Linked DNA regions of Astyanax mexicanus. The protein of the gene in region 4 binds, or shares a complex with, the protein of the main gene of each other region. Links are inferred from orthologs where the notes say so. Each region holds a gene or a part of one and is shown on either strand. Other genes may lie near its edges.

What was found.
Region 1: nup98 (region 4) and nup160 share a complex: the UniProt entries of both Homo sapiens proteins name them as parts of the nuclear pore complex. The link is inferred for Astyanax mexicanus from reciprocal best matches to the Homo sapiens genes NUP98 and NUP160.
Region 2: nup98 (region 4) and nup153 share a complex: the UniProt entries of both Homo sapiens proteins name them as parts of the nuclear pore complex. The link is inferred for Astyanax mexicanus from reciprocal best matches to the Homo sapiens genes NUP98 and NUP153.
Region 3: nup98 (region 4) and cetn3 share a complex: the UniProt entries of both Homo sapiens proteins name them as parts of the nuclear pore complex. The link is inferred for Astyanax mexicanus from reciprocal best matches to the Homo sapiens genes NUP98 and CETN3.

What each region holds. Positions count from the first base shown.
Region 1 is NC_064417.1:10,773,335-10,781,330, reverse strand, and holds the start of nup160 (nuclear pore complex protein Nup160), read right to left. Parts: upstream 3,018-7,996; coding exon 2,901-3,017; intron 1-2,900. UniProt on the Homo sapiens protein: Functions as a component of the nuclear pore complex (NPC). Involved in poly(A)+ RNA transport.
Region 2 is NC_064410.1:52,285,142-52,292,880, forward strand, and holds the start of nup153 (nuclear pore complex protein Nup153), read right to left. Parts: upstream 3,019-7,739; 5' UTR 2,913-3,018; coding exon 2,835-2,912; intron 1-2,834. UniProt on the Homo sapiens protein: Component of the nuclear pore complex (NPC), a complex required for the trafficking across the nuclear envelope. Functions as a scaffolding element in the nuclear phase of the NPC essential for normal nucleocytoplasmic transport of proteins and mRNAs.
Region 3 is NC_064427.1:165,831-173,334, forward strand, and holds cetn3 (centrin-3), read right to left. Parts: upstream 2,837-7,504; 5' UTR 2,703-2,836; coding exon 2,686-2,702; intron 1,951-2,685; coding exon 1,815-1,950; intron 1,705-1,814; coding exon 1,590-1,704; intron 1,389-1,589; coding exon 1,197-1,388; intron 1,034-1,196; coding exon 990-1,033; 3' UTR 519-989; downstream 1-518. UniProt on the Homo sapiens protein: Plays a fundamental role in microtubule-organizing center structure and function. As a component of the TREX-2 complex, involved in the export of mRNAs to the cytoplasm through the nuclear pores.
Region 4 is NC_064424.1:13,491,129-13,499,015, forward strand, and holds the start of nup98 (nuclear pore complex protein Nup98-Nup96), read right to left. Parts: upstream 3,016-7,887; 5' UTR 2,835-3,015; intron 488-2,834; 5' UTR 460-487; coding exon 381-459; intron 1-380. Other genes in the region: nsrp1 (nuclear speckle splicing regulatory protein 1), read right to left, coding at 6,739-7,507, 7,824-7,887. UniProt on the Homo sapiens protein: Plays a role in the nuclear pore complex (NPC) assembly and/or maintenance. NUP98 and NUP96 are involved in the bidirectional transport across the NPC. May anchor NUP153 and TPR to the NPC.

The DNA.
Region 1 (7,996 bases), on a different chromosome or scaffold from region 4:
GCTAAACCTGATTCTTTAACTATGACTTAATTTACCCTGAACTGGTTATTTTTTTGGTTTAATGTCAAAATGAGTGAGGGGTAGCGTTAGTCCAGCCATAGCTCTTTAGAATAGCCTGCTTAGCTAGCTAGCTAAACAATATCCTACTGTGGGGAACCTGATCTTACAGGCGTGTACACTTGCATGCTTAGCTGGACTGTATTTGGCATTTCACGTTCATGTTAACAATAATTTTATGTCTGATTTGATATTACAGATTAACGGTGGAAACAAAAGTAAGGTTAAAAATACTTTATGAAATAGTGTTTCTTTAAGACACTGGCTGGCATGCGAAAGTTTATAAAGTATGCTGTGCCCACCTTATTTGCCTGGAAAGATCAGTGAAGCCTGTCAGGAGGGCTGTAGTTAGACATACTGCAGGGTATTTTTCACCAGTCACTAAATTATTTACTAACTAGCTAGCAAACTAGCTAACACATGAGTTTTTATACAGCAAACAAAGGCGATTACCTAGCTTCCACATCATGAACCTAACAATTAATCCAGTTTCTGGAGCCTTTTATTGAAACAACCCAGGGAAATCTTGCACTCATTTTCGGACTATTTCTGATTTCACCGTTAATTCAGGGAGGTGTGCAGGGTTAGTTGTCCACACAGGCGCTGCCATTTAAACTGCTGGCTCCGTTGCTACCTTGGAATTTCCGGTTTAGGAGCGAACCCACAGCCCTTCTTTTGTTTCAACATGGCCGCAGAGTGAGTAAGGTGCATTGGTTTGTAGAATTGTAGTAAAGAGATGGAGCGTTCCTTTGTCAGGTGTTGTGATGAATTCTAGCTCTTTGTCAGAATCTGACTCCTCCTCACATCCTTTCAGCACAGCACCAATTGTTTTTTTCTGGTTTGTTTACAGTCTGCCTTATCTTCCTGTTTTTGGTCTGAAAGTCCAAACCATCTAGAAAAGTGTTCATATTGCAGACAATCCGGACCATGGTTAAGATGGCCACATCTTTTGCATCTTTTGATTGAACAAAACTTTGTGGCTTATGCTCCCTCACCCATTACTTGTTGAGCTAAGTGTGAATGCACCCTAAATACAGTATTGGGACTAGTGGTGCGAATCTCTCAGTGACTGGCGATTCGATTCAATTCGATTCCGATTTTTGGGGTCACAATTCGAAATTCAGAAACGATTTTCGATTCTTGAACGATTTTTTTATTCAAATGGCCTATACATTTTGTGTAAATTATGTGAGAAGATAAAAAGATGAAAGGACAATTAAAAAAAATAGAAGTTTTTTTTAAAACAATAAACTTAGGATCCTTACTGTATTAAATCTTTTTGCAACATACCGTACTGCGGAGCTCATCTACTGTTGCACAAAGCTTTTTAACTGTACCGCGGAGCTCACCTACTGTTGAACGGAGCTTTTTAACTGTACCGCAGAGCTTTTTAACTGTACCGCGGAGCTCACCTACTGTCGAACGGAGCTTTTTAACTGTACCGCGGAGCTTTTTAACTGTACCGCGGAGCTTTTTAACTGTACCGCGGAGCTCACCTACTGTCGAACAGAGCTTTTTAACTGTACCGCGGAGCTTTTTAACTGTACCGCGGAGCTCACCTACTGTCGAACGGAGCTTTTTAACTGTACCGCGGAGCTTTTTAACTGTACCGGGGAGCTCACCTACTGTCGAACGGAGCTTTTTAACTGTACCGCGGAGCTTTTTTACGGTACCGCGGAGCTGACATACTGTCGCGCTGAGGTTTTTAACTGTACCGCGGAGCTCACCTACTGTCGAACGGAGCTTTTTAACTGTACCGTGGAGCTTTTTAACTGTACCGCGGAGCTCACCTACTGTCGAACGGAGCTTTTTAACTGTACCGCGGAGCTCACCTACTGTCGAACGGAGCTTTTTAACTGTACCGCGGAGCTTTTTTACGGTACCGCGGAGCTGACATACTGTCGCGCTGAGGTTTTTAACTGTACCGCGGAGCTCACCTACTGTCGAACGGAGCTTTTTAACTGTACCGCGGAGCTTTTTAACTGTACCGCGGAGCTCACCTACTGTCGAACGGAGCTTTTTAACTGTACCGCGGAGCTTTTTAACGGTACCGCGGAGCTGACATACTGTCGCGCTGAGGTTTTTAACTGTACCGCGGAGCTGACCTACTGTCGTGTGGAGCTTTTAAACTGTATCGCGAAGCTGACATACTGTCATGCGGAGCTTTTTAACTGTACCGCGGAGCTCACCTACTGTCGCTTCACCCCCAAAACATTTTTTTGAAAACGAGAAACGATTCTGAATCGTTCAATGTTGGAATCGCAATTCGAGCTCGAAACGATTTTTTACTGCACCACTAATTGGGACATTAGGTTATTTGTTGTCTCTTTAAAAAACAAGTGTATTAAATAAGAGTTCATCTTTTTGTTGGATGAACTGATTTGATTGTATTTAATGACGAGTGTTGTTAAGGTCAGAAGGATGCAGGCTCACCCCAACTCATGACAAAAGTATAATCATCACTGCAGTGCTTCTTTCATTTACATTTTCATTTATATACATCCATTTCTGCATTTCAGGCCTGCAACACATTACAAAGAAAGTTGGGACAATCCAATTTGGGTCTAATAATGAGGTAATAATAATATAATTAAACCCAGGAGAAATTCTGGTGTTAAAGGGCAAGACCACAAGCTTAAGCTTTAATCATTAAATACACAATGCCACTTTACTTTGCAAAGCAGTCTGCTCCAAAAGTTTTGGAACCAGTCCCTTTATTTCTGCTGTAGACTAAAAAATTTGAGGTTGACATTAAACATTGGGATTCCAGTGTCCTCTTTAGCAAGTAAAATGCATGCAGTTTGGAGATTGAATATGTCAATCTAAAACCTTTCACTACTTGCCTGCCGGCAGCTATTTTGCATAGCATATTTGTCACTGTGCTGTGATGAGGACAGGTCGTACTGATGCGGGTAGTTTCGCATTTGCTCACACAGCTGCTCCTTAAAACTTTTTGCCATTTAGGACCTGCTGAGTGTTGCACTGCCTCCTAGTGGTTGTGTGTGTACTGCACCTCCTGAACGCATCACATTAATTTCTGAAGATGCTCAAAACCATCGCTCCAAGCGAACGCAGAATATGTGAGGCAGCCATCATGTGTATACATTAGAGATGGGATGATCGATCGGCGGTGTATCGGTATCGGCCGATTTTCAGCCAAAATACGGTTTCTGCGTATATTCCTCAGATTTTAGCCGATCCGATTCAGGAGTTTAAGGTTAAGCAGTTAAGCAGTGCTGTGTGTGGTTGGGTGGTGAAACTGCTCGCTTACTAGTCGGAGCTGCAGCAGCAGCACAAACCCCGCTCTCTTCACTCAGTCAGAGCTACAGACCAGCCACGGGCTACAGAGCTCAGCCAGTCTGGAGTTTTTTTCAGTTTTCTTAAGATCATCTCTGTAGGAAATAAAGGTTTTAATCCCACTAACCAGATTATACAGCTCTCTACAGTCCATCTTTCTGCCCAACCAGTGAGCTCACAAACTAACAGCAGCAGTTTAGAGCATCCGTCACGGAGTCACTGCTCGGATTACATTATAAATTAGTGCGCTGCTCACCTCAGGATGTTTATAACTACGGAGTTTAGTGGACACGCCGCCAGGTTAGACTGTTGAAGGCTACTGAAGACTATTAAAGGCTATTGGAGGTTATTGAAAGGGTTATTGGGGGCAGAAATCAGTAAAGGCTGGTTAGATAAGTAATTCACGTCTTCGCCCCTCGCTGCGGTGAAACTGTGACTAGCGCTGTCACTGTGATGTTTATTAACATCATTAAAACAGATTTTGTTCTTTCCAACTATTTGTGAATTTAGTTAAAAGCTCTGTTTTATTGCTGTAATGTTACTTACTAAGAATATGGAGTTTAAATCAGGTCTGTGCTCTTAATTACAGTTTATGAGGGCAGACAGAGTCAGGCTGGATTTTTTTTCCCAATCTAAGCTCTAGCTGGAGCGATGGATTACTGTTGTTCTTGTTAAAATATTGTATTATTATCTATATATTAACAGTAAGTGAGATATTTTAAGCAGTAAGCTGACAAAACAGGCTGAGGCGGCTGATGTTGGGAGACACATTCCTGCGGTATTGAAGTATAAATATAAAAATTTTGGTGTCTTTTAAATATTTACACATTACTTGTTTCTCTCCTGAAAAGTGTTTATTTTGGTCAGTAACACTCTTGTGTTTATTTACTATCAGCGTAAATTACCAGTGTTTGCTTAGGTAATATTAGGGGAATCTGTACCAGGTTTGCCTGGCACCTGTGTGGCATTAATGTGGCATTTGCCTCCGCCCAATATGGGTATCAGCGATCGGCGATTGGAATCGGCCCCAGAAACGCTTATCGGTCCATTTCTAGTATACATAAAAATAACAGCAAGTATATCTCTATAGCCGAAGCCTTATGTGGACCATGTTCAGAAGCGTGTTGACTACTCTGGGCTGAGAGGCATCTGGGATGGTCAGGGGAAACAATTTAAAATCTTTTCTTGAAGAAATTATCTGGACAAAAGGATACAAAAAATATGATTTAGATGATGTAATGAAATGTAATTATTCTGACAAGGGTACTGCAGTCCTGACCTGTCCTCAATAGAAAAACGTGTGTAGAATAAAAAAAAAAAAAGAAAATACGAAAATTGTCCTGTGCTGTTACACACCTTAAGGCATGTTTACAACTGTGCTTAATCCTTAGAAACTGACCCATTTATAAATCAATTATGTAAATTAAAACCATATTAGTTGGAACTGTATGAGGCACTGAATCATTTTCTAAGGAATCAAGAGTTGAAAGAAAATGAAAGAGACTCAAACCCTTGACATACATGTTTGTTAATGAGCGCCACAAGCTCAACACTCTCAGTTCCTTTATTTAACACGCACGCACGCACACACACACACACACACACGCACTTACTTACTTACTTATGCTGTGTAAACATTTTAAAAAGTTAAAAGTGGTGTTATGAAACAGGGTAGGATGAGAGTCGGCTAAAGTAATGCACTCATCATGCCTAGTGCCTACTGTACAAGCCTGTGCTATGATCTGGGGTTGATGATGTTGTTGGTCAGATTTAGTTTCAACAACAGTATGTGCTGAAAGAATGAGGTCAGCTGACTGCCTGAATATACTGAATATAGACCAGGTTATTCCATCAATGGATTTTTTCTTCCCTGATAGCACGGGCATATTCCAAGATGACAATGCCAGGATTTATCAGGCTGGAATTGTAAAAGAGTGATTCAGGCTGAAATAAACTTTTAAAATTTTATACCACATAATATGTAAAAAATTAAATAGCTTTCTTGGAACTCATTGTGGAGAGATGTGGACAGTTGTCAAAGTAGGGGATTTCACTTCAACAAGGCTTTCTAGCAGCTCAACACCGTAACACTGTTACACGAGTTAAACAGAACAAAGTAAATTGCGTTATTATAATAATTTAAAATATCAGTGTTTATTTCCAGACCATCATTAGAGAGAGCTGTGTGGGCAGAATATGCCACGCCTGATTAGTGAGGCCATTCATTATTCTCTGTTGATATTAGACTTTCCCAGTATTAGCCTCTCTCTGCCTCAACCAAGAAAGGAGGAATATATAATTTTTTTCAACATGAGAAACATTTTGTACACTTTGTCTGCAAGATTAACCTAATTACAGCGATTTAGTCCCCTGCTTTAACCTCGACTGCAGCACTATGTTGATCCTCAAGCAGGAAGAATAAAACAGGTTAAGAAATGTGCATAGGCATGCATGCAAGTGTGTGTTTGTGCTTGTATCAGCAGTTTGATGATTTAAAGATTTCATTTTAATTTAAAATGGTAATTCAGGTAAAACTCTAATCACAGCCCAAACATAGTTAATCAGAAAATAATTCTGGAGAAAATAATACTATATTAACCATAACTATGCTGGGCACAGATATAATTTAATCCGTCTGTGCAGTGAGCACACCAGTGAGTACCCTTAAAACACACACGCGGTGATTAGAGCTTAGATTGGGCCCAAAAAATAGACCTATTATTTAATAAAAATGTTTATTAAAAACAGCTGCACAGCCCTACAAGTCAAAGGCGGACAAGTGGAGAAGCTTGCGTGTGCCCAGAGCTGCGTGATTATGACGTTCTAACTGGTGCAACTTTTTTAAAACAATTTGATTTGTTACTTACAAGGTTATAAATGTTTAGAATTTTTCGTTGTAGTTTAATTTTATTTTGTTTCCAATTCCGTTAGTTTTAATTAGTTTTTAGAGTGGGGTTTGCTATTTTTTATTAGTTTTTACACATCACACCAGAGAGATCAATCTGAGAAACACATAAACAAACTCAAAAAATCAATAAACTTTACAGGTTTCACTAATTTTTCAAAATGATCAACTATGAGTGAGTGCGAGAGAGAGAGAGTGAAAGAGAGAGAGATTTATCAGTTCATCCTCCCACGTGGGGTGTTGTGGTGTATGAGCTACTCACAGGTAAAGATACTCTCAGCTGCTTCTCAAATGTACTTTAGCTGTGTGGAGTTTATTCCATATACTCTATCTCCTGTTTCTCTACGAAACATCTGCTTTTATCTCCCTCACGCTCATATTCTAATCCCATACTGAATTCTGCAGTTTCCTGTTGTTTCCTGATGTCAGGGTTAACGTAAGCGCTGTAAACAAGAACTAACGCCATGGACCGCGAGGTGCCGCGCGCTGCCAAAATTTGCCTCCTGCAGAATCCGGCTTCCCTTCGCGAACAGAATAGCCCCAACACCGCCCGTGGTAAAACTGCTGAAGTGGAAACAATGCTTATGAATACACAAAAAACAAAGGGTATTCTATCAGTAATTCCAATTCATTTTAGTCAGTTTTATAAAAACACAGTACAGTTTCAGTTAGTTAGCTTTTTTTCTTTAATTACTGTTTTTATTAGTTTCAGTTAACTAGAATATTTTTTTCATTTCAGTTTTTGTTATTTTTCATAATTTTTCATTTGGTTACTTAGCTATATTGTGATAATCACGCCAGAGCTTTATATTAAAAAATAGCATTAAAAAAACAGATGCCTACGTCTCAGACTATTTTCTGGAGCCCGACCCGACCCGGCCTGAGAAAAGTGGTGGGATATCTCAGGCCGACCCAGCGCGGGCAGAGAAACTAAACTCTAACAGTGATACAGTGAGCACACAAACCTGGAGCAGTGGGCTGCCATCATATTGCCAAGAATATTGTTTTAGGTCATTATTGCATACCCCTAAATGTTCTGAAAACATTTATAAACATTGATTTAACTGATACAAATATACACTGATATATAACATTTAAGTATTATTAATATGTCTGAAAAATGTTTTGATAATGTGCCAATGTAGTTATCATATTGTTGCTGCAACAGTGTACCCAGAGAATTTAACAAACTAAAGATTTTAAGAATCAAAGTCGAGTTGATAACATTCAGAAAATGTTTTTAGTAGCTATGAGGACAAGGCTTAAAATTGGACAATACACATAGATAGCCAGTCGATTCTTCCGTCTGTAATAATGATCAAACGTTTACTGTGTCACCCAGTTCTGTGACTTTCAGTAACTCAAGTTAGACGCAGTTTCTGTTTTCTATAAACATGAACTAAAGGCACAGTTCCAGTCTGATCTAACTGCTGTGTTGAGCTGTGTGGTCTGCTTTAGTTTGTGGGAAATCGGTAATATTTTGCTGAATAGTTTTTCTGAGGGTTGACCGTTGAATCAGCTGGAAAAAGCAGAAGCTGCTCACTCTCAGTATTCTTAGTTATTTCATTTCAGATAAAGTTTCAGAAGTAAAGCAGCTCTCTTTCTTTTTGTCTTCTCTCTCTCTCTCTCTCTCTCTCACTCACACACACACACACACACACACACACACACACACACACACACACACACACACACCCTGAGAGGAGTTTTGAAATCAGAGCTCACTGAAGATCCTGA
Region 2 (7,739 bases), on a different chromosome or scaffold from region 4:
CAACAAAAATATATTTGACTCACTTACACCTAAATATACGATTTGTTTGAATACAATTTTAAAATCAAAGAACTTGTTTACCCATATGATAAATCTTTATTTAATGGCTCCCACACTAATGTAAAAATCCCAGACTCTACATAGGTAGTTACCTATATTTTAAGAGCAAACAAGATGTTCCCAGTCATTAGGGTATATTACACTAAAATGTTTTAAATAAGGGGTGAAATTATCATCCCTATGTTTGCAAACGCTACTTGTACCTGGGTGCAAATAGTCACTTCCAGGAGCTAAAACATGCTTGTTTTTATTTAATTATACAATTAACTAGTTGACTGACTATATCTGCAACTCAATTTAAACTCACAATCACCTTCACTGTCCCAGGAGGATTGTAGCTACAGAACTGAAGAAAAGGCGATGTGTGAGAAAATGGATTTTAACGCACAGTCGTTTAAGAAACATTGTAAAATTACCTATATTAGCTAGTTGAGAGGCTAAATCTCAGTGTGGCGCATGTTGGCAGGAGACCACATGCGTTTCTGAGGATAACGGAGGTTCAGCTAGAGACTCCTAACGCTCAACACGACTGGAAAACACGCAGTAACACAAACATACAGCATTTTTATTTTCTGTATTTACTGTAAAAACGCAATGCCTAGTTTCCAGACGCATTCTAGCCCCGTAAAGATGTACAGGGAGAGTGCAAGGCGGGAGAGAGCAAACCCGAGTCAACATGGTTGACTACTACACAAAGTGCTAAGCTAACTAGCCTGGCTAGCTAATGCTGTTGAGGTCCATGTGCGGGCCCTGGCCGCCTTCCAGCCGGAACGCAGCTACGCCAGAGCGGCAAACAGAGGGAGATGTGTCTGCTTCACACTTTTAGCCAGCTATCTTACCGTCTTATCCCACCATACACGTGTTAATTAATCTTACAGAAGGCATTGTTTTAGCTGCAGTTGCTGTCACACAACCGCAAACTTGCTAGTTAGCTAGACTGCTAGCTAGCCTAAATGTGAGTTCAGGGAGAGTCAGTTTATGCAGAGCATGCCCACTCCCCATCTCCTCCGCTAGATCAGAAAATTACTTCAAACCGCTAGAAGGAGCCCACGAGGGAGTCCTCAATGAATGGGGGTAAATGGAGCTAAACAGCTCAACACTCAAAGTAAAAATTGTTTAACAACTGATCCAAGATATTCCATTAATTTAAAAGAGTAAGAAAGAATTTTGCTTAAACAATAATCAAAGACAACCAAGCTATACCTTTTCATATTTGTACAAGTTTTAAACACTAAAGGTGCTAGCATTTCTGCTACTGTGTGCAGAGAGACCTTTTGGTGAGCAAAGAACTTAATATTCATTGGAGGGCACCACAGCTATGCTACCATTATTTTAATTGACTAATAAAATATAACCACAGTAGTATAAACGATTGAAACATCAATGTATGCATTGTCATTTGAAAACAAGACATTGTGATCAAGGTTTCTAAAAAAACAACTTTGTTTTAATTTAAACTGAACTAATTGAAACTGATATTTTATACTACTCAAAAACTTTAAAACTCGTTAGCTATAAACGATATGGTCCCACTCCATCTCCTGTTCTCTGTGTCCAGATTTGTTCTAAAATAAAAATATACAAATATACTAAGTAATATTATTATTAACTAAGTAAGAATAATTTACATCTAAACATCATTAGCTATGTTTGGGTGCATTTTGAAAGTCCCTGTATACTGCAGGGGACATGGGGTTTGCCAGTTCAATTTTGACATTTAAGACTATTAATAAAACTTCTATTTCTGCTCCACACAATCAACACTTAAGGAAAAAAGAAAAACTAAACTAACTGAACTTACGTTTTACTCTATATTTTTGCAACTAGTAACAAAAGAATGTTGAGTAACACAATCAGATTTTAGTTACAAGATGCAAAAAATAAAACTTTTATTGACCTTTGAGTTCAAGAAAGGGGGCAAAATGAAAAAATAGAAGATTAGAAACGTTGATATCCTATTTTTCTTCAATATACAAAAAGGAGAACATTAAAAATACCCCGCAATTTCTGACTAATCTGCACCCCAAAAATAGTTAACAAATTAGCAAACCTAACAGTTTTTTTTTCAGCAACCCTAAGTTATTACAGTCTTGTAAAAAAAAAAGTCTTGTGTGGAGTTTAAAAGATTATAATTTTGATTTAGTCTCCGCTACTGAAACGATTAATATCGCTATGTTTTGAAAAACAAGTACTTTTCAGAATATTAAATCAGTATAAACGATTAACGATTTACTGAACTAAGATTTCCCCATGTAAAACCATTCATTGGGCTCTGGCAAACCCGGAAAACACGCTAAAGTGGGCAGTCTCTTCTCTACAGACTCTGCGGTTTAGTTACACACTAGCTAGCGCTGTGGTGACGCTCATACTAACGGCTAATGCTAGTTAGCTAGCTAGGCTAATTAGCATTAGCAGCTAACTAGTTCTCAAACTAGCTACACATTTCGATGTAAAACGGCTATTTATTGGAATTTAGCCGCTCTCTGAAACTACACTTCACCCCGCGTCACACTTCTCTTCACACCGCCGCCCACCAAACCACACACTGCTCCCCCCAAAGAGCTGACAAACAAGCCGAAGCTCATCTAACATTCCCCCGCCGAGCCCGGAACTCAAAGCCCAGGCCTCGCCAGGCAGCCGAGTCTCTAGGCCGCGAAAAACCGTCTCTACTAAACAAAACAAAAAACCCGAAGCCAGCTACGAACCCGCTGGAGCAGCGCGGCACAACACGCTCACAACAGCTCCCCCGTACCGGAGACAGGCTGTCTAGTTACCTGTTTGCCTTTGGCATAAGGTTTAGAAGCGATATGGTATCTCCTTGTTCTAATTTTCCCTCCTCCGGTGGCCGCCATGGCTGAGTGAAGTTTGCGCGCTGACCGCCTCGCGCTCAGAGCGCTCTTCTGTCAGCTCAGCGCGCGCACTCTCACGCGCACACACCAATAACGACGCACGCACACACACTTTACCTCACAGCACACACACACTGGAGATTGCTGGGAAACTGAGTTAAGCGGTAACGTACTTTAAAAAGAAACACACACGCACGTCATTCCCACTGTGTAAAAACATTTAGTACAACGTAGAACTGTGTATAAATGTTTGTGACTTTAAACTAACTCAGAAAACCTCTTATTGTAAATTTTAATGGTATATTTAACACAGTTAAATGAGTTAAAAGTTCAAATTAAAATTTAAAATTAAATTTTGTACAAAAGTTTGTACACCTTCTCATTTAGTGTATTTATTTATTTATTCACACATTGTAAATGGTCCAGACTATCATCCACACTATAAGGAGACACAAGAAACCATAGTAAACAAAGGGAGTCCTCAATGAATTGGGTAAATCGAGCTAAACAGCTAAAAACTCAAAGTAAAAAACCTATCTAATTACTCATTCAGGATTTTCCATTAATTTCAAAAGACAGAAGACAGAATTTTGCTAAAATAGCAAAAAGCAACTATATCTAGCTATATCTTTCCATTTTTCTACAGGTTTTAAACACTAAAAGTGATAGAATAGAACTGTGTGCAGAGACCTGTTGGTGAGCTGTTGTTGGAGCCAAGAACTGGAATTTGGAAGGAAGCAAATCTATGGTACCATTATTTTAAGTAACTAATAAAATTATAACCATAATGGATTAAAAGAATAAAACATTTATGCATTGTCATTTAAAAACAAATCAAGACATTGTGATCAAGGTTTCTAAAAAAAAAAAAACTCAAAAACTTTAAAACTCGTTAGCTATACACAATATGGTCCCAATCTATCTCCTATCTAAAATAAAAATATACCAATATATTAAGTAGAATAATTTACATTTGAACATCAGTAGCTATGTTTGGGGGCCTTTTGAACGTGCCTGTATATTAGAGGGTATATGGGTTTGCCAGTTCAATTTTGACATTTAAGACTAAATTCGAAAAAAAAAAAAAAAACATACCCCATTTAGTATAGAGAAGATTTTAATTTAAAAGTCTACAGTACCAGTCAAAAGTTTGTACACACCTTCTCATTCAGTGTTTTTATTAATTTATTCACACATTTACACACGCAGTTAAAAGTGCTAAACAAACCAATATACTCTTTAAAGCATATAGTTTGCTCTTGGTGCTGTTAACTTGTGATTTGCTTTCAAAGTTCTTGACATTTTTCATATTGACTGACCTTCATTTCTTAAAGTAATTTTCCTTTACTTAGTTGATTAGTTCTTTCCTCAAATAGGGCTATTGACTGTATACCAACCATACTTAAGAGACAAGAAATTCAAGGATTTAACTCTGGACAAGTTCAGCACAGCTGTTAACTGAAAGCCATTCCAGGTAAAAAAAAAAACAAACCCATTAAGCTGACTACCCCTAAAAATGACAAGATGTGCAAAGCATGTCATGTAAGCAGGAAGAGCTACTTTGAATAATCTAAAATATTGAAAATATACTGGTTTGTTCACTTTGTTTGTTGACCTTACTATTAATGTACAATGCAGAAAATTCAGAAATTACTTAATTGCAGTTGTAGCTGCTAAGGGTGGAACAACCAGTTTTTAGGTTTAGGGGGCAAACATTTTTTCACACAGGGCCATGTAGATTTGGATTTTTTTTCTCCCTTAATAATAAAAACCTTAATTTAATTTTGTATACTTGTGTTGTTTTGAATTAGTTTGTTAATCTGAAACATTTAAGAGTGACAAACATGCAAAAAAATAAGAAATCATAAAGAAAACACCTTTTCACACCAGTGTATTTATTTGCAAATTAACTAGCTCATGGTTGCAATTTTAAATTTCACAAATGTATTTTCTACAGTCTTCAAATACTAATTAGGGTGCATTACAATGACTTTTCTACAGTCATAGGTTAATAACTGTACGTCAGTATAGTCAATATTACTGTACTTTAAGCAGTAGTGTTGTTGAAAAGTGCATAGTGATATGTTAAATGGAATAATAGAAATGCTCAGACTTGGAATCAGTTCTTTTTATATTGAATTTCCCTGATTAACTACCACAAGTTAATAATGTTGACTATCCTTCTGCTGTTATTATTTGAGAAGTACAGTCTAATCAACTAGCCAAACAAACAATATATTTCATCAAACCCTTACACTTTCCCAATTAAGTAAAAATCTCAATCAACCTGTAGAACATATATTTACAAATATCTGATGTTTTTTCAGGTATAAGGTATTTTTTGGATTAACACTGACGAAAGATTTATTTAACTTTATCAGTCTAAATAGAGCACTCATCTGGCTTCTCTACATGCTCTGTAGCATAAATTTCACAGGTAAGATTTACTTCTTACTTCTTATTTGTTTTTATTACTCTCAGAGTTCTCTTGCACTCTTTATGTAGTCGCTCAAACATCTGCACATTGTCACATGAGTGATTTTAACATTTAACATTTTAAAAGTCCAAGAATTTAAACAAATCCTCATTTAAAAATGTTTTATTTATTTTTTTCAAAAACAAAGATTTGGTATTTTGTGTATTTCTGTATGCTGCTGCTGTCCAATAAAAACCACATACCCCCATTTTTAGTTTTCTTCCCCGTTTGAACCTTTTAGCTGATCTGTACACTGAGTATATAACTCTGGATGGATTGATCAATAGAAATGCTTGAGAATTTCTTGGAAAAAACTAATTTGACAAAGACATTTTTATTTATTTATTTATTTATTTATTTGCACCAATAAAAACAATAAACACAAACTGGAAATAGCAATAAACAAAATAGTGCAGGTAGAGGCAAAAAATGCCTCTACCTAAATGATATCAAAATCTATTATAACAAATATAACATCAAAACAAACAAACAAAACAAACAAAAAAAAAAATCACAATTTAAACATGTAACAAAAAAATATATTCACAATACATTCATCAGATGATCTTTTAAACATCTTTTGTTTTACATAATGTTTTACAGATGTACATTTTTTTGCCAAATGATTAAAATTATTCCACAGTTTTGTCCCCCTATATCTTATTGAATACTGACCTCTACAAGAGAGAAATTTAGGAAGATGGAGATCTAAAGACTGACGGGTTGAATACTTATGTATTTCTGCATTTGTAATAAAATAATTTATAAATTGTTCTGGAAAATTTTCCTGATTCGAATAAATTTTAAAAATAAAGATACATATTTGGAATATATTAATATTATAAATAGAGAGAATTTGAAGTTTCTGAAATAAAGGAGCAGATGAAGTGTTTAGATGTGATCGTGTTGCAATACGGACAAATCGTTTCTGAAGAACCAGAATTTTACTAAGACTAGTAGAATATGTACTCCCCCAAACTATATTACAATATGAAAGATATGGATAAATAAGACTATAATAAAGAGTAAGAAGACATTTTGTGTTAACCAGATAACTAACCCTCCTTATTATACCAATAGATTTATTTATTTTTCTACTAACCCAGTCTATTTGCTCTTTCCAACTTAAGTTTTCATCAATAATGATTCCCCAAAACTTAGAACTTGACACTTTAGGCAACACCATAGATTCCATTGTAATTTTTGATAAGCTTTTAGAATACATTTTTCTTCCACTAAAAATTATATAATTTGACTTTTTTATATTTAAAACAAGTTTATTTAATTTAAACCAGGTTACATAAGCAGCTAAACCAGTATTTGCATCCTTAATCAATGTATCAAAATTTGAATGGCTATTTATTAGAGTTACATCATCTGCAAACATTATTGGGGAAAAATTGGGGAAACATTAGACAAGTCATTAATATAAATAAGAAATAACAATGGTCCTAGAATAGAACCCTGTGGGACACCACAAAGCAATTCAGCTCTACTAGAATAACAACCATTTACACAAACAAACTGCCTTCTATCTGAGATATAGCTTTTTAAAAGATTATATGTAGTATCCTGAAAACCATATTTATGTAACTTTTCTAATAATATATGATGGTTAACTGTATCAAATGCCTTTGAAAGGTCTAAAAAAATACTACAAACAAATTTACTTTTTTCTAGTGCAGAGGTAATTTTGTCAGTCAGATGAAGCAGAGCCATATAAGTAGAATGATGTTTTCCGAAAACCATACTGATGTTTGTAAAAAAAACTGAATTAGAATCTAAATGAAAAATAATCCTTTTATATATTATTTTTTCTAATATTTTTGAAAAACATGGCAAAATTGATATAGGTCTATAATTTTTAAAACAACATGGGTTATCTGCTTTAAACATTGGAATAACTTTGGCAACTTTTAAATCTGATGGCACAATACCAGTTTTTAAAGATAATGAAAAAATATAAGCTAGTGGCTGCAATATTTCATGCTTCACCTGTTTAACAAGAAATGCAGAAATATTGTCATGACCAGCTGAAGATATCTTTAATTCATCAATTATATCACTTATTTCTTGGATATCAACAGATTTAAAAGAAGATATAACAGGAAAAGTTCTGGTTATAAAGTCCAGTGGGTTACCATAACAATAGGGAATGTTATTTACTAATTCACAACCAATATTTGCATTAAATATTTGCATATTTAAACTGTTAAAATGATTAGCAATATCAGATGGATTATTGAAATGATTTTCACCATCTGACATAACTGATGGTACCTCTATAGCAGCTTTCTTCCTTTGTAACATCTGATTTATCACTTTCCATGTTGCTTTAGTATCTTGTGAATTAA
Region 3 (7,504 bases), on a different chromosome or scaffold from region 4:
CAGATGGATAGACAGACAGAATAATAGATTGATTAATTAATTGTTAGACTGGTTAGTCTGTAAGATATTGGGACTCAAGTCAGGCCCATTCTATACTCAGGGGCAGGAAGTGATGTCGGGCTGCAGGAAGTCAGGTGAGGCCAATAGGGTGAGACTCTGTGCAGGTGACACTACAGCGGGCGATCTGACCCTTCAATATTTTCTGCTTCTTTTTATTAGAGTTCTGATTAAAGTTTTATAATGTAATATGTGATGTTATTTGTTATGTTATTAATGTGATGGGTGACCTGTAGTTGAGAGTAAATGAGGACAGTAATGTAATGAACACGGGAGAGTCGCCCCCTGCTGGAAACTAATGAAACATCTGCTATTTATTATTATTTAACCGTATGATCACTTTAATCACTTCATATGAACATAATACTAAATCACACTGATGTATTTTTTACACCACAAAATAAAGCTAATAGTGAGTAAACAGAATACCTCACTGTACAGAACAGGACAATGCTAATCAATTAACCTACAAAACTTTATTCAAGAACACAGAGCAGATTTTACTGTACATAAAAAATGGGGGAAAAAATTATGTTTAATTTATGAAATTCTAAAAAATATGTATAGACAAAAACACTGCACTGCCTTATAAATAAACAAAATACAAATAATGTACTATTTACTGTCTGACTGTTACACTCCTGCAGTAAACAAATACACAAAACATCAATCAGAACCACTGAAATCACCGTTCAGATCTATCCCATAATTCCTTTACCTGCTGAAAAACAATGCAGACAGTATTTACTATGATTTATAGTCCTGTATCTACAAAACAAGATAATCTAATATAAACTAATCACAGTAATAAAATGATTTATTTCATTATATACAAATAGAAAACTGAACAATCCCAGAAAACAGGAAATCTGAACCAAAACACTGAGATAAAAAACATCATCTCAGTCAGTCATCATCTCAACAGCAGCTCTTCAGGAATCTCCCGTCATTATAGAGACAAACTCCTCCTGATTAACTGCAGAGAGAGAGAGACAGTTAACGCTCTTACAGATTTATTCATAATTCATTATTTGTCAGAAGGTCTTTAATAATAACAGAACAGACCTGTCTGTCTGTCCGTCTGTCTTTTAGAAGGAAGTAAAAGTGCAGATTTTCAGTGTAAATATGTAAATACTCACTCTCTCCGTCTCCGTCGGTGTCGAACTCGTCGATCATGGCTCTCAGCTCCTCGTCGCTCATGTCCTCCCCCAGCTCTCGCGCGACTCGCCTCAGATTCCTCAGACTGATCTTCCCCGACTCGTCATCATCAAACAGCTTAAACGCCTTCAGGATCTCCTCCTTAGGATCTCGCTCCAGGATCCTGTCTGTCACTGAGAAACGCCCACAACCCCAATAAATTACCATAAATACAAACAAAAATACTAAATATACAAAAACCAGAATAAACTACTGTAAACACAAAATAATAATTATACATGACGATCGTGAATTGTCCTTCTGAACTGAGGCGAGAAGGCTCCGCCCACATATCCCCCAGATAAATGTGTTACTCTCACAAAACATGAACTCACCAACTTCTCTAAAATCTTCAAACGTTATTTTTCCGGTTCCTTCTCGATCATAATCTTTTAGGATTTTCAGCACATCCACCTTCTTCACCTCGAAGCCCAGAGCTCTCATAGCCACCTGCTCACAAACGTAAACCATATTAACCATGTTCTGATATATTTAATATGTTTCAGGAATAACAGAGATAATAAACTGGACTAGAAGATGAAGATAAATAAATTTCTCACCTTCAGTTCATGATAATCGATTTCTTTATCTTTATCTGTGTCGAACAGTTCAAACGCTTCCTTTATCTCATCCTTCTGCTCTTCAGTCAGTTCTCTCCTCTTCTTGCGCTTCGTTTTATCAGCGGGTAGTTCAGTCCTGCAGGAGATTACAGCTCAGAATTAAACTCGTATTAAAAAGTCAAAGCTTTTTGTAATTAATGCCATTATTCAATTTGGGTAAATATAATATTCATATGTGTAATGGTAAAATGACCTATTTCATTTGTTTATGTGTGATTAATTTCATTAAAAGTGTGTCACATATAAGGAACCCTAAAATAAAAACAAAGAAAAAAGTCTGTTAATAGTCAAATTTTTTCACATTTTACACAGTAATTTGTGTAAATTAAAGTAATAATTATTGAGTGTTTTTCTTTCTGAGAAACCAGTAAATTAATCTGATTAACAGAATTAACACACAGCTAATATCGGCCTTTAACACAAATTAAACACAGCTTTATATTTATTAATCAAAATCAGATGCAGTAAATTTAACTGATATAAACTCAGATTATCTTGTAAAATTCAGATTATTATTAAACTCAGACTAAAAGCTTTAATATCAGATAATCAGATACAGCTCTGATCTAACAGTGTGATTTACTTTAACACATTTATTATATATTAATATAATTTATAAACACAGATTTCACCATTAGCACAAGCTGCAGCATTAGCATTAGCTCAGTAGCATTAGCATTAGCTGCAGCATTAGCATTAGCATTAGCTCAGTAGCATTAGCAGGGATTAGTTATCAGGGTTTAAATCGGCTGAATGAATTAAAGATCCGTTTCCCGCGGATTCAGTGAGACCCAGAGTTCATCAGCGTTACCTGATCGACAAGCTCATCTCCCTGGATCGATAATATGATCAGATTAATCAGCGGATTTATAAATTTAGTTTAATTCAGGAGGCTTTAGGGAGCTAGCTGCAGCTCTATTCCCACCATCCGGGTTACTAGGCTACAAACACTGTGATGTCATCGCGACGCTACGCTGTGATTGGTCTGTTAAGTTAACCTCCTCAACAGTTGCAGTTATGATGTTATATAGATACAATACATTTATATATTCATACAAGTTCTTCATAACAGAAACGTTAATTTTGTTTTATCTATTATATCTGTATCTAATATATAACTAAAATAAATGTATAGAATAAATATAAGAGAAGAAAACGATTGCGGGACACGTATATAATTCTGTAGTAAACAGTAAAAAATAATTTATTTTTTACATAGTTTTTTATTTAGTTATTGCTCCACATTAATCCCCTGATCTAAACCTGATGAACTGAGAGTAATTTAATTGGGATGAGCTGGAGCTTATTATTAAAATAATTCAGCATGTTTTCCTGTAGAGCTTTATAGTCTTTAATATGAAATGAAATGTTTAATATAAAAAAAATCACAGTAATAATGTTTTGTTGTAGTAAATTAGTCTTGTGGTTAAAGCTATAAAATCAGACCGAACTGTAATTTCAGTTTATGAATAATCATGTCCATCAGATCTAATGCAGTTTACACTAATGACCACTGGGGAGCGCCATAAACCTAAAGATAATATCTGACCAATAGAGAGATAGAACACACATAATAAAAACAGCCTGTATTTCTTTATATATGACAAACATTTCAAATTGTATTTATTTAGACAGATTAATACGATAAATAGAAATGTGTAAAAATATGCATTATTCCAACAGTCAGTGCAGTGATTAATAAAACAGTATTCAGGAGGTGAAGATAACAGCAGATACTGAGAACACAAAAAAACAAAGCTTTAGTGATCCTTTATTTATTACAAATTATTTCAATTTTTTCCCATTTTCTCCTAAATTTACACGGACAAATACCCAACCCACTCATTAGGACTCCCCCCACCTATCACTAGTGATGCTCCAACGCCAGGAGGGTTAAGAAGACCAGCACACGCCTCCTCCGATACATGTGAAGTCAGACCTCGCCTCTTTTTGAGCTGCTGCTGATGCTGTAGCATTGCCGAGTAGCATCACAGTGCTAACGCTCGGAGGAAAACGCAGCAACTTGTTTCTGATACATCAGCTCACAGACGCAGCCTTGTGCTGATCCACATCACCCTAGGAGTACTGAGGGGAAAGAGAGAGCGCTACTGTGCTCTTTTAGGGCTCCGGCAGCTGATGGCAAGCTACATGAGCGGGATTCAAACCAGCGATCTCCTAGACCGTTGGACCACTTGGAGCCCACAGCTTTAGTAATCCTACACGATTCCTACAATCTGAAAACAGCCCTCAGATTCTGTGTTTTTGTGTTTATTTTGTGTTAATTATGTAAATGATTTAATTAATAACAGTTCTGATGACTTTATTCTACAGTGTAATTCGCTGGTGGAAGCTGTGGGATGATGGGAGGGAGGGAGGGGGATGATCCAGTGGGGGGTTGTGGGAGTAGACCTGATGCTCTGGTTTTTGTTGTCCTGCTGGGAGGTGAAGGGGGCGGGGTCAGAGGTTATGTAAATGAGAGGAGTGTTGCTACAGCTGGACTTCAGTATTTCTTCAGTTACACTAAAAATACAGCATAAATATAAACACAGCCGTCCACCTGCTGCAGCTCCCGCCCCCGTCCCCTCCCACTGATCTACAGCACAAATACATTATTATTATATGTAAATATCTAATCTTCACTTATATTTAAATACACTGACCGGCCAAAACTCATGGGACAGCAGTGTGCAGTTCATGTTCATGAAGAGTTTTCCTTTTTAGCTCCACATGGGATATGCCATAAGTCATGGAACACAAGTTATGTTTCTGTCCCATGACTTTTGGCATGTCAGGGAAAATGTTACACAGCTATGTTTGTATATGATTAAAATAATATGTTTGAATATACATCACATACATATGTTGCAATAAGTGACACATTTATGTTGGCTATGTAATATAATAATATTCTCTATTATCATAATTATAACCATATAATGTTCTATAAAATAATGACTCTATATTCAAATATACTATATGTGGGGGGGAGATATTTTTTTATATTTAGAGAGTAGAAACAGAACCAGCCTCTCTCTCTCTCTCTCTCTCTCTTTCTCTGTGTTTCTCTCTCTCTCTCTGTGTTTCTCTCTCTCTCTCTGTTTCTCTCTCTCTCTCTCTCTCTCTCTGTTTCTCTCTCTCTCTCTCTCTCTCTCTCTCTCTGTTTCTCTCTCTCTCTCTTTCTCTCTCTCTCTGTTTCTCTCTCTCTCTCTTTCTCTGTCTCTCTCTCTCTCTTTCTCTGTCTCTCTCTCTCTCTCTGTGTTTCTCTCTCTCTCTCTCTCTCTGTCTCTCTCTCTCTCTCTGACTCAGACTGAGGTAAACAGCGTGTTTAACACTGAGGTTCTAGACTGAGCTTGGTTCCCCCGGCGGCGCTGGTCGGGTCGGGTCGGATCGGTCGTGACGTCAGGGTCTGGTTTACAGGTATTTGTAACTCAGGTGGAAGTTTTTACAATCCGGTGAGGAGAGGAAACTGCTGACGCTCCCCGCCGGACCCAGGGTCACCCGTCCCATCATTAACGGCACCGTGTGGATCTTTACACCCAGAAACTGCTGAACCACCAGCACACACACATTAGTCATGGCGGCCGGACTGAACCCTGATCTGCCCTGATAAAATATTTGGTATAGTGGTGCTGAGGATCCGGGGGGTTGGGTTCCCTCCAGCCGGCTGTTCTCAGACCAGTTCAGACTGATCCTGTTTATGGGAGGAACAGTAGCTGATCTGAGATAAACAACAGGAGGGAGAGTTCCGGTCTGAACCCCGACCAGAACCAGAACACCGGGCCCACAGTTCTGCTACAGAGTCCGATACTGTTCTCACATAATACAGATAAAGAAACTGACCGGTCATCATCATCATCATCATCATCATCATCATCATGTCCTGCAGTGATATACTAAATTTTACTTGCTAATTTTTCAGTGTAAAGCTGATGTTACTGTAGGAGCTGGAATGTAAGAGATGCAGGTTGGGTACTCCTGTCTGTCACGCCTCCTCGGTGGGGGCGTGGCTTGTCCGCTGACTCAGCAGAACCGGATCCAGGGTGTTGTGTATCGGGTCTGACCCCTCTGGCAGCACCGCGAGCTACACTAACAGCTCAGACCCGAACTGAACCGGCCCGGTCCGCCCGGTCCAGCCGTCTCCCGTTACACAGCCAACCCCCCCCCCTCCCCCCCCCCACCCCCCACCTCTAGAGATGTGATCTTTGGTTACAGTTACGAAAGTGTTCTTCACCCATTTATAGATCAGTTACATCAGTTATATTAGTTCTATTACATAATACTGAATATACTGCATTTCTACACTCAGACTGAACCTGCTGACTGATGCTGTAAATACTGACACTGCTCTGCTACAGTAACTTACTGTACATTAATACACTAAACAGAAATAACCCTGTAAATCAGCTAAATGAGGTAAATGTAACTGATGTAATTTAAACTATTGTAAATCTAAATATAGAGATTTTAACAACTGTTTCAACAAACTGCCCAAAACTGTCATCTTTATTTAAAGTTGTGTTATAAATGAGAAACCTGATGTGCTGTGGACTCAAACCGCATCATCTTTATAGAAGAGTGATTCATGTGGAACTGCCTGTCCAGGGCTGTTCCGGATCAGAACCACCAGAAACACCAGAGTCTGAGCTCCTTCAGTCACTCAGAACAAAAACCTCCTTGTGTTCAGTCTGATCCTCAGGTAAACTCACCTCTACAGGGTGGAGGAACGCAAGTAAAGCCCCTTATTCTGCTCAGAGAAACATTACCTGGTCCTATAAACCACATCCTGTGTGTAAAAAAGCACCATAATGTATATAATTCCCTCAATAAACCTCACAAGCTGGTAAAACTTCATCCAAAAAGTTAAAACATCAACTTGTGTAAATACTCTGAATTACTTCATCAATAGTTACAAACAATGGTTAATTATTTATTGCACCAAACAAACTTTAAATAAAACAATAATAATACTAATTCAGTAGAAAAGCTTATTTATTTAACTGACAACAGAACATTGATCTTGGCATAATATACATACATCCATACTACAAAATTATATATAAAAGTCAGCAACATACAAAATATACAAAACTGTAAAAAGACTCACAAACAAACAAATACATATATTGCACCTTTTCTAGAATTTTAAGAGAAGCTTAAATCAGGTTAGACCCTTTTTTCAGCCCCTGAAGCAGGAAGTGAGGTAGCATAGACACGAGTCAATATCCGATAGCTATGCACCCGCAGGACTGAACGTACGTCTGATTACCACACGCATTAAATACTCAACATTATCTTTCTTCAACATCATCACTTCATCTTTATCCTCCTGGAATTGCATTAATATCAGAGTGTGAAGAGGAAGAGTTCTGATACGCTGAAATTCGCTCACTTTCATCAAACATAATAAAAAGGAAGGAAATCTCTCGAACAGGAAAATGCAAACACAACACACAGCGCATCCAATCAAATCCCATCAGGAGGAGAAAAACTGCAGCACAAAATCTGAACTGTTCATCATGTGTTGTATGAAGGCCACAGAATTCAAAACAATGTGATAAAAAAAGAGTTAATCTGCATATTATTCTGCCCCACAGGTCTCAGTTTCTTCTGAAATAAACTGCTAAACTGAC
Region 4 (7,887 bases):
ATTAAATGTTTCAATGTTATAAAAAGGTAATCTTTAAAACAACCTATTCTGCTGGATACAATTGACATCATAATTGGACACAATCTTTGCATGAATCTTAGTGTGTGGCATTTATTCATGAAAAATCCTATAGAATAGCAGCTGTCATGACTAAAGGATATCCAAAGACAAATAAAGTAATGCAATCAGTCATTATGTGAGAACTCTTGTGCTTTTAACATTAGACTTATTCATTTTCAAACATTTGGTTGGGGGAAAAAGGCAAACTACATAGTTTTTACTCTGGTTGCTAGCAACTTGGTGCTAACCACATTTTTTTCAACATAGAGAAGAAATCCAGACACTCACAGTAAAGATATTTAATTACACAGTTTACTTACTTTGTTGTCCAAACGTGGATGATGTCCCAAATCCTCCTGTTCCTCCCCCGAAGGGAGCACCAAATGATTTGTTAAACATCTTGGACTGCTATACACCCTGCATATGTCTGCCACAAATAACAGCAGTGTGATAAAAGGTCAGTTTTTGTATTGTGATCAAACATGCAGCTTATTATTCAACTCAGTACACAACTCATCTGTGCTCAAAACATCAGAAAGTAAGGAGAGTATAAGAGGATAACTTAAGGCTACTTAACAGCAGAGGAAGATTTTACTTTCATTTCTCAAATCATCACATGAAACCTTACATAGCTATTATCACATTGTCAGAAAATGCACTGTAGCATTCAAAGCCTGCTTGGCTGTTACATTCCTAATTAAAAGCACTGGTTATCTGGCATCAGAATAACACAATAGTAGGTAGTCTGAGCAACTGGGTGGGCAGTACAGTAATATTTTTATCATACTATTTTTATCATACTTTTGTTAAAAAAATAAATTTTCTGAGCATACTGTGGGTTTAAGTGCTTGCAGAATACTAACCAACTGACCAACATTTATTACAGTGTGTGTAAATAGATATGTTTAATAGGAAACGTCCAGCGAATTTAAAATGAAACTATATCACCATACTACCGATGAAACAGTGTTTAAAACAGTGTTTGAACAGAATAGAGTTTGAATAGAGTCTTCTGCAATGACGCCTTTGTTTTTGGGTCAAAATATAACAATAAACATCGTTTATAACTTATTGTAGGGGTGCGGACACTTTTTTCTACTCTGCAAACATAACCATTTTTCGCTGCGTGATTTAAAAGGAACAATTACGGTCTCATTATTTTAATTGGCATCGCTACCAAAATTTATACCAAGTAATTGATATCTGCCAGAAATAATTTACTTTACTTTACAAAGTGCATTGAGCAATGTTTCATTATTAATGATTGTCAATTCTGTACATTTCCGAGGAAATATCACAATAAATATCACAGAGTAAAAGAATATTAAAATGTCCCTAAAAGCTCAGAAAGACACAGCATAAGCCATGACGACCTAAACATCACCAATTATCAAATTAATAAAAAATAGATAGAAAATAAATTGCACGATTGCTAATTAATATACAAATGTCGCTGTAAAGAAGGTCACAATAATAGAACAGTCCTAACTTTTCTTTGTTTGGATAATATTTAGGGATATCAGAAGCCATTGTTTCCATTACATTAAATGTATTTTTTTTAAATATACATATTTTACGAACAGTAAGCAGCCCCAATTCAACCCTACATGCAGCTTTTATATTAAACTCTAAACTGTATTTCAGTTAAGAAAAAGTGTAAAACATGAAAATCGCTGCAATATCATTTTTTAACAGGTTTCTGGCAGAAATAAATGTATATCTAATTAGATTTTCTCTGCTATATGTAAAGTCTTAAAATCTCAAATATTCCATTTTGAAAATGCTATTAAAACAGTATTAAACAGTACATAATTTGATTAACCTTTCAGCCCTAGAACACACAATAACTAAATATATTACGTTAGTAGTTACATCACAGTAGGAAATATATACATAAAATGTATAATGATAAACATCTTGTATAATGAAAACGTCTTTAAATATCGTAAAACAATATATTTTATAATAGTGGTCACCCCTACATTTCAGCAACTGGTCGCAAACTTTAGTCAGATAATCCTGAGCGCCAGAAACAGGCCTAGCTAATGTTGGAAACGGGCCCGTGTGTAGCTAAAATAGCTATCTAGTCAGTAAACATGGAACGCATGCTTTTAGATACATAAACAACACGTGAAAAACACACCCTGCTAGTTTGTAACCAGTCTGGTTCAGTAAAACTCGCTGTGTGACCGGATTTATCCTGAGAAAACCAGTGTGTTCAAACATGCGCCGACCAGAGGCAGTTCTCTGCTGGCTTAAGCTAGTTACATTGTTTTCGTTAACACTAACTCTTAGCTAGCTACAGTAATGCTCGTAATTTAATGTTTGTGGCGTTTCTTAACTGTTTAAATCACATAAAAACAGGTTAACATGAAAATTAACGTAAACAGAGGAGAAAACATGAAGCTACACACAGCGCCAGAGGCTCCCACATCATGTGCGTGAACACTGGCCGCCGCTACTGAAGAGGCTAACGCTAGTTAGCCAGCTAGCTAGCTTTTAGCTTAACGAGCTGTAACAACTCCAGTTATAAACAACAAAACACTGCCCCGCTTTACACACAAATTATAAACAAACACGCGCCGAATACTCAGCAGAACCCATTTTCAGCTGTAAACTACACTCATGTTGCGCAACTTTTGAACTGTACACACAGCTGAAGCGGCAGCAGGCTAACTATTCAGCTAGTCTAGGTTTAGCTTAGCTTGCTAAGCCGTTAGCATCGGAGTTTCAGAAAACCAGCTCAGCTACAACAGTTCTCCTCACACACTCACCGCGCACACACAGCGGCTCAGAACGTCTCAGCGGGATCTGCTAGCGCTTCTCTCAGGGTCTTCAAATTTCGCTCTCAGCCAAACTCCGCCGTTCCCTCAGATTCCAGGCATTTGTGTGAGTTGAGAAACACACTGTGTGGAAGGAGGGAAACGACAGGCGAAGCTAAAGCAGTACAAACCTACGTCAGACCCGCACATCAGCGGACGTCACCACCCCGCTTCTGTCATTTTCTCCACACATCCAAAATAAATACATTTATTTTTTATAATGACGATTCTTTGAGATAATAAAAAGAATGAATGTTTTAAAGTGGACTTCTCTTAGTTTATTTGAGATACAACACATAAAAGGAACCATCCACACTTTTGTTCCTACTGTAAAATGTTATATTCATAAATACATCTTTAATTCGCAATTTCTTTAGATGAAGTAAATAAATCATAAAACATTAGCCCCCCCATTATTATTATTATTATTATTATTATTATTATTATTATTATTATTATTATTATTATTATTATTATTATTATTATTATTATAGTTATTATATTAAGTTATATATGTTTTGTAGTCAACTAAGTGGCGTAATGCTCCAACGATTTGGTGGTTGTAATAAACACAAAAAGATGCTTTTAATAATCAGATATGCATAAACAGGCTTATTAGATTTGAACAATACTATCTATCATTACTAACATTTATATTTTGTTATAATACATAATAGTATATGGTTAATTATATCATATTAAATACTGTATGCTCTGCAATGCTGTCCACAATAATTTCGATTTTTAAATGTCCCATTGTGCTTTTACATCAGTACATTTTTCTAGATGTATATATTTTTGTAGTTTTAAATGCTAGAACGTATTATATATATATATATATATATATATATATATATATATATATATATATATATATATATATATATATATATATATATATATTGATTTCAATGGATTTAAAAATAGCCTTTTATAATTACATTGTTTATTTTAGAACATAAATAAATTAAAGGTGAATGTCTAAATATACCGTAGGTTATACCGTAGTTTGTTTTTATTATAATTTTATTTTATATAAATGTCTTACTTCTAATACTTTTTGCTGTGTGTAATGCCTGATCTTTGAATAAGTATTTTGTACGTAATTTCTATGTAATACGTATTTATAATATAAGAATGTGTACATTAAAATAAAGTAAAATAAAATTAACTAAAAAATCCCGTATATCCGGTGTTACGGAGTAGATCTGTGTGCTTCGCAGCGGAACATGAGCAGAACGTCACCAGGCGGCTCGGATATAACTGGAAGGACGACGCCATTCAGTCTTTCTCATACGGCTCCGAGAGGAAGAGTGTAGTGCAGAGATGGCTAAAGTCTGTATAAGCAAACACCATGGGTGTGTTTCCAGTTTTTACGCATTAATGGAGAAATATCTCACTCGACAATGGCTTTCGATGGGCGCGAGTTGAGATAATTTGTGCTTACTACATTAGTTAAAACCTAGTTACTGAAGAGTTCAGGAGAACCACGTGGCTGAAGGAGGCACGATGCGGCACAAGGTAACGTTACACATTCTTCACATATATAATCGATAATGAATATCGATACTGATACTTTTCTGTAGTTCTGAACGCGGTTACAGAAGTGCTATGGTATCTTAACTTCTGTTTTAAATGTGTTTCCTATAGGTATGGTGCTGCAGCCCTGCATCTCACAATAAACTATGTCCAAATCCACCACAGTGCAGGGCGGAAAGGAACAACTGAGGCTTGAGCCTTATTATTAAAAGGTGAGAAACGTTAATTCGTAAATTAGTGTTTTTTCACGTCTCTGTGAAGAAAACTTTGAGTAGGAAGTGCCGTCTTATGCGATAACTGACGATTTCATTTATTCAAATAATCTGAGAGACCTTAACCTAATAATGTAACCCTTTAGTCACTAGTACTAGTTAATGTTTACCATTTCACCCTTTCATTCACTGCAGGCAGAACCTCCTTCCACGTGCTGGAAGAAACAATTGCTCGTTACTACATGAGTTAATAAGGTAAGTCGTTTTTTGGCTAAAAGATTTGGTTAATTATGGAGGTTATGTTAATAGTATGTCCACAGTTCACTTGCAGGTTGCAGAATTTACTATTAAACATGCCATCTACATGTGCACTTTTATATATGTTATTAAAGATTTAATTATTTGTTTAATGCCTGATATGTAATTTTATTTTTCCCCACTTTTTAATGCAGTCTTTCTATCACTTTTACTGCTGTAGTTACATCCCTGCCCCCCTGTGGGATTTAAGCATTCTTGGTAGTAAAGAAATTAAATCGAGATTCATTTAGTTAGTAAACAAATGTAGTCCTGATATGGTGTAATGATGAAACCTAAACTGAAATAGCTGGAATTACCGGCAGAAGGTTCAGTGGTGATCATCGGTTTTCTGAACACACAATAGCCACTTGCAGACTTTAAGGTAAAAGTATGTGATCTCAATCTAACAACTTGTTAATTTTTACAGGGACCATGTGATCCAAGGATTCAAGAAGATTTTAAGTAAGGCGGGGTGAGTACACTGCTAACCCTGTTCTGTTAAATGCCTCATGTTAACTTGTGATGAAAACAAAACTGAGAGTAGCTGGAATTACCGGCAGATTGTTCAGTGGTGATACTCGGTTTTCTGAAGTTTTAAGAAATTTTAATTAACTGTTAAATTTGGTTTCTGTACTTGGTTTTAATTTTTTTTTCCATCTTCCACTCAGGCACTGGACAAAGCAGTAAAAGCTGTTGAGCGGAAGAACGTGAAAATCAAACCTGCAACAGTACATGTGTGGCATGCGGAATAAAATTTTTAATTAAATAAACTTGTTAACCTGACCATTGGTGTGTCTCTTCATCTTGAAGGTTTAAGCTTTTCCATGAATTTTAGTATTTTCCAGAGCAAATACAATGATTACTTGATGAGGTTTTTCATTACTTTTATATGCTATAATTCAGTAAAAGGAAAAAAAAACTTCTAAACTTCATTCTAAACAGTCAGTAGCACACCAAATTTAACTTGTTTAATCAGGTGGGCAGTCATTAAACTGCATCTGCTTGGCTGAAAAACCTGTGCAGCCACACCAGCTCTGTGTAGGCAAGGTTTTAAATGGTGTAGATTCAAGGAAGAAACAAGGAATTGAACCGGTACAATAACACCTGTGGCCAAAATGAAAAGTTCCTTGCAGATTAGAATAGCACCCCTACAAATTTGCCTGAGAAATACCTCAACCTTCCTTACTCTGGTGGATTTTTTTTAAAGGAAGGGTGAAAATAATGGTGTGCCTTAAGGTTTCATTACTTCAGGGGGGAATATGCTGGTCTATTGCAGTTTAAGGACTTGGTCACATAGCTAAGAAAACCCAAGGGAAATTAACAATGGGCAGATACTGGTCCAGTTTCTTTTTATCAAGCTGCAAAGAAGTTGTATAGCATAAATCTAGGGAAGTCTGACCCTCCACATCCAGTAATGTGACTAATGCTCATATGCGCATTAAGGCAAATGAACTACATTGTGCACCTGTACAAAAATGTACATTTTTTTAGATCAAACTTTATAGCTGGTGAATAGCAGCACATCAGTAGTATTTTGACACCAACTTGACAGCGTTTACATGAACATTTAACAGGGTAAAAGTGTGGTTTCTTTACTTCTGTCCCTGTGAATTAGACCAAGTCTCTGACAAAAAAAAAACTGAATTTTAGCGAAAATGAACCACATACTTTTTTTTAATAAGCACAAACAAGTTACTGTACAATTTGAAATTAAATGGCAACTACAGTGGAAACATGACTTCCCTCAGGTTAGTCTAGTTACCAACATCCACCATATGTGAAACAGTCCCTGCACAGTTGTGTGCATTTTAGTCTTCATCTTTTTCAATGTAGGACTTTGCAGCCGATCGAGCCATCTGTCGAGCCAAATATCTTTCCCGGGCAGAGCTCACAGTCTGTTCACTGTTGCGTTTTGCAAATTTGCTGGGACCTGGTTCTGCCTCAACTTCAGCACCACCTTCAGCTTGTGCATCCTTTTCTTTCGTCTTCTCATCTGCTTGGGTATTTTCTTCCTTCTCTTTTCCTGCATCCCTTTTGCCCTTGTCATCTGTTTTGTGGTGGTCTCTCTCATTGTGTCTGTCCCGATCCCTCCCTTTTTCTTCATTTCGTTCATGTGCTCGCTCTTTTGGGCTGCTGTCTGTTCTGTGTTTCTTCCCATGCTTGTCTTCTTTGTCTCTCTCCCTGTCCCTGTCTCTTCGCTCTCTTCCTCTGTCTTCATCCCTTCGTTCTCGTCCTTTCTCTTCCTCCCTGTCCCAATGTCGGCCCCTTTCTCCTCTGTGGTCCTTGTCTTCTTTGCGATGACCATGCTTGTCCTCTCTTGCTCTGTCCCTCTCTTTTTCTTTGTGTCTCCTCTTCTCCTTCTCTTGTTTCCTTTCCTTCTCTTGTTCATCGCCACTGGCTGAGGAAGGAGACCTCTGTCGGTAGTGCCTCTTGGAGTGGCTGCTGTTGCTGCTTGTCTTGCTGAACTCTGATTTTGAAGTCTTCTGGTCATCATCGCTGTGGCGTTCGTCTTCACTGTCATTTTCTTGTGGTGGGGAGTCCACAACTGGGGACTTCTGCTCCTTGGGTTTCTCTGCCCTGGGACATACATTAGTATGGCATGTTGTAGTAAGTTTTACAGTTTTTGTGTGATTTCAAGTGTAAAAAGTTAAGTGCCAAAAAAATACAGAAGAGATCCTTTTCACCCCAACTACACAAATGTAACGAACTCAGAATTCAGGATTGGTCTCTTTACAGTTTGAACTTTAACAGTGCATTAACCAATAAAGCAATAAAGAGATGTTCAGTGCCTAGAACAGTATTACATGTTATTAACCTACTACATACAATTAAAGCTAATTTAGCTTTAACTTTCACTAGTGATGACACTAGATGTTCACTGTCCATATCTCACCTTTCAGCACTCCGATCAGGAACAGCCTCCTCCCCCACTGTCTGATTTAAAAGATGCCTGTAAA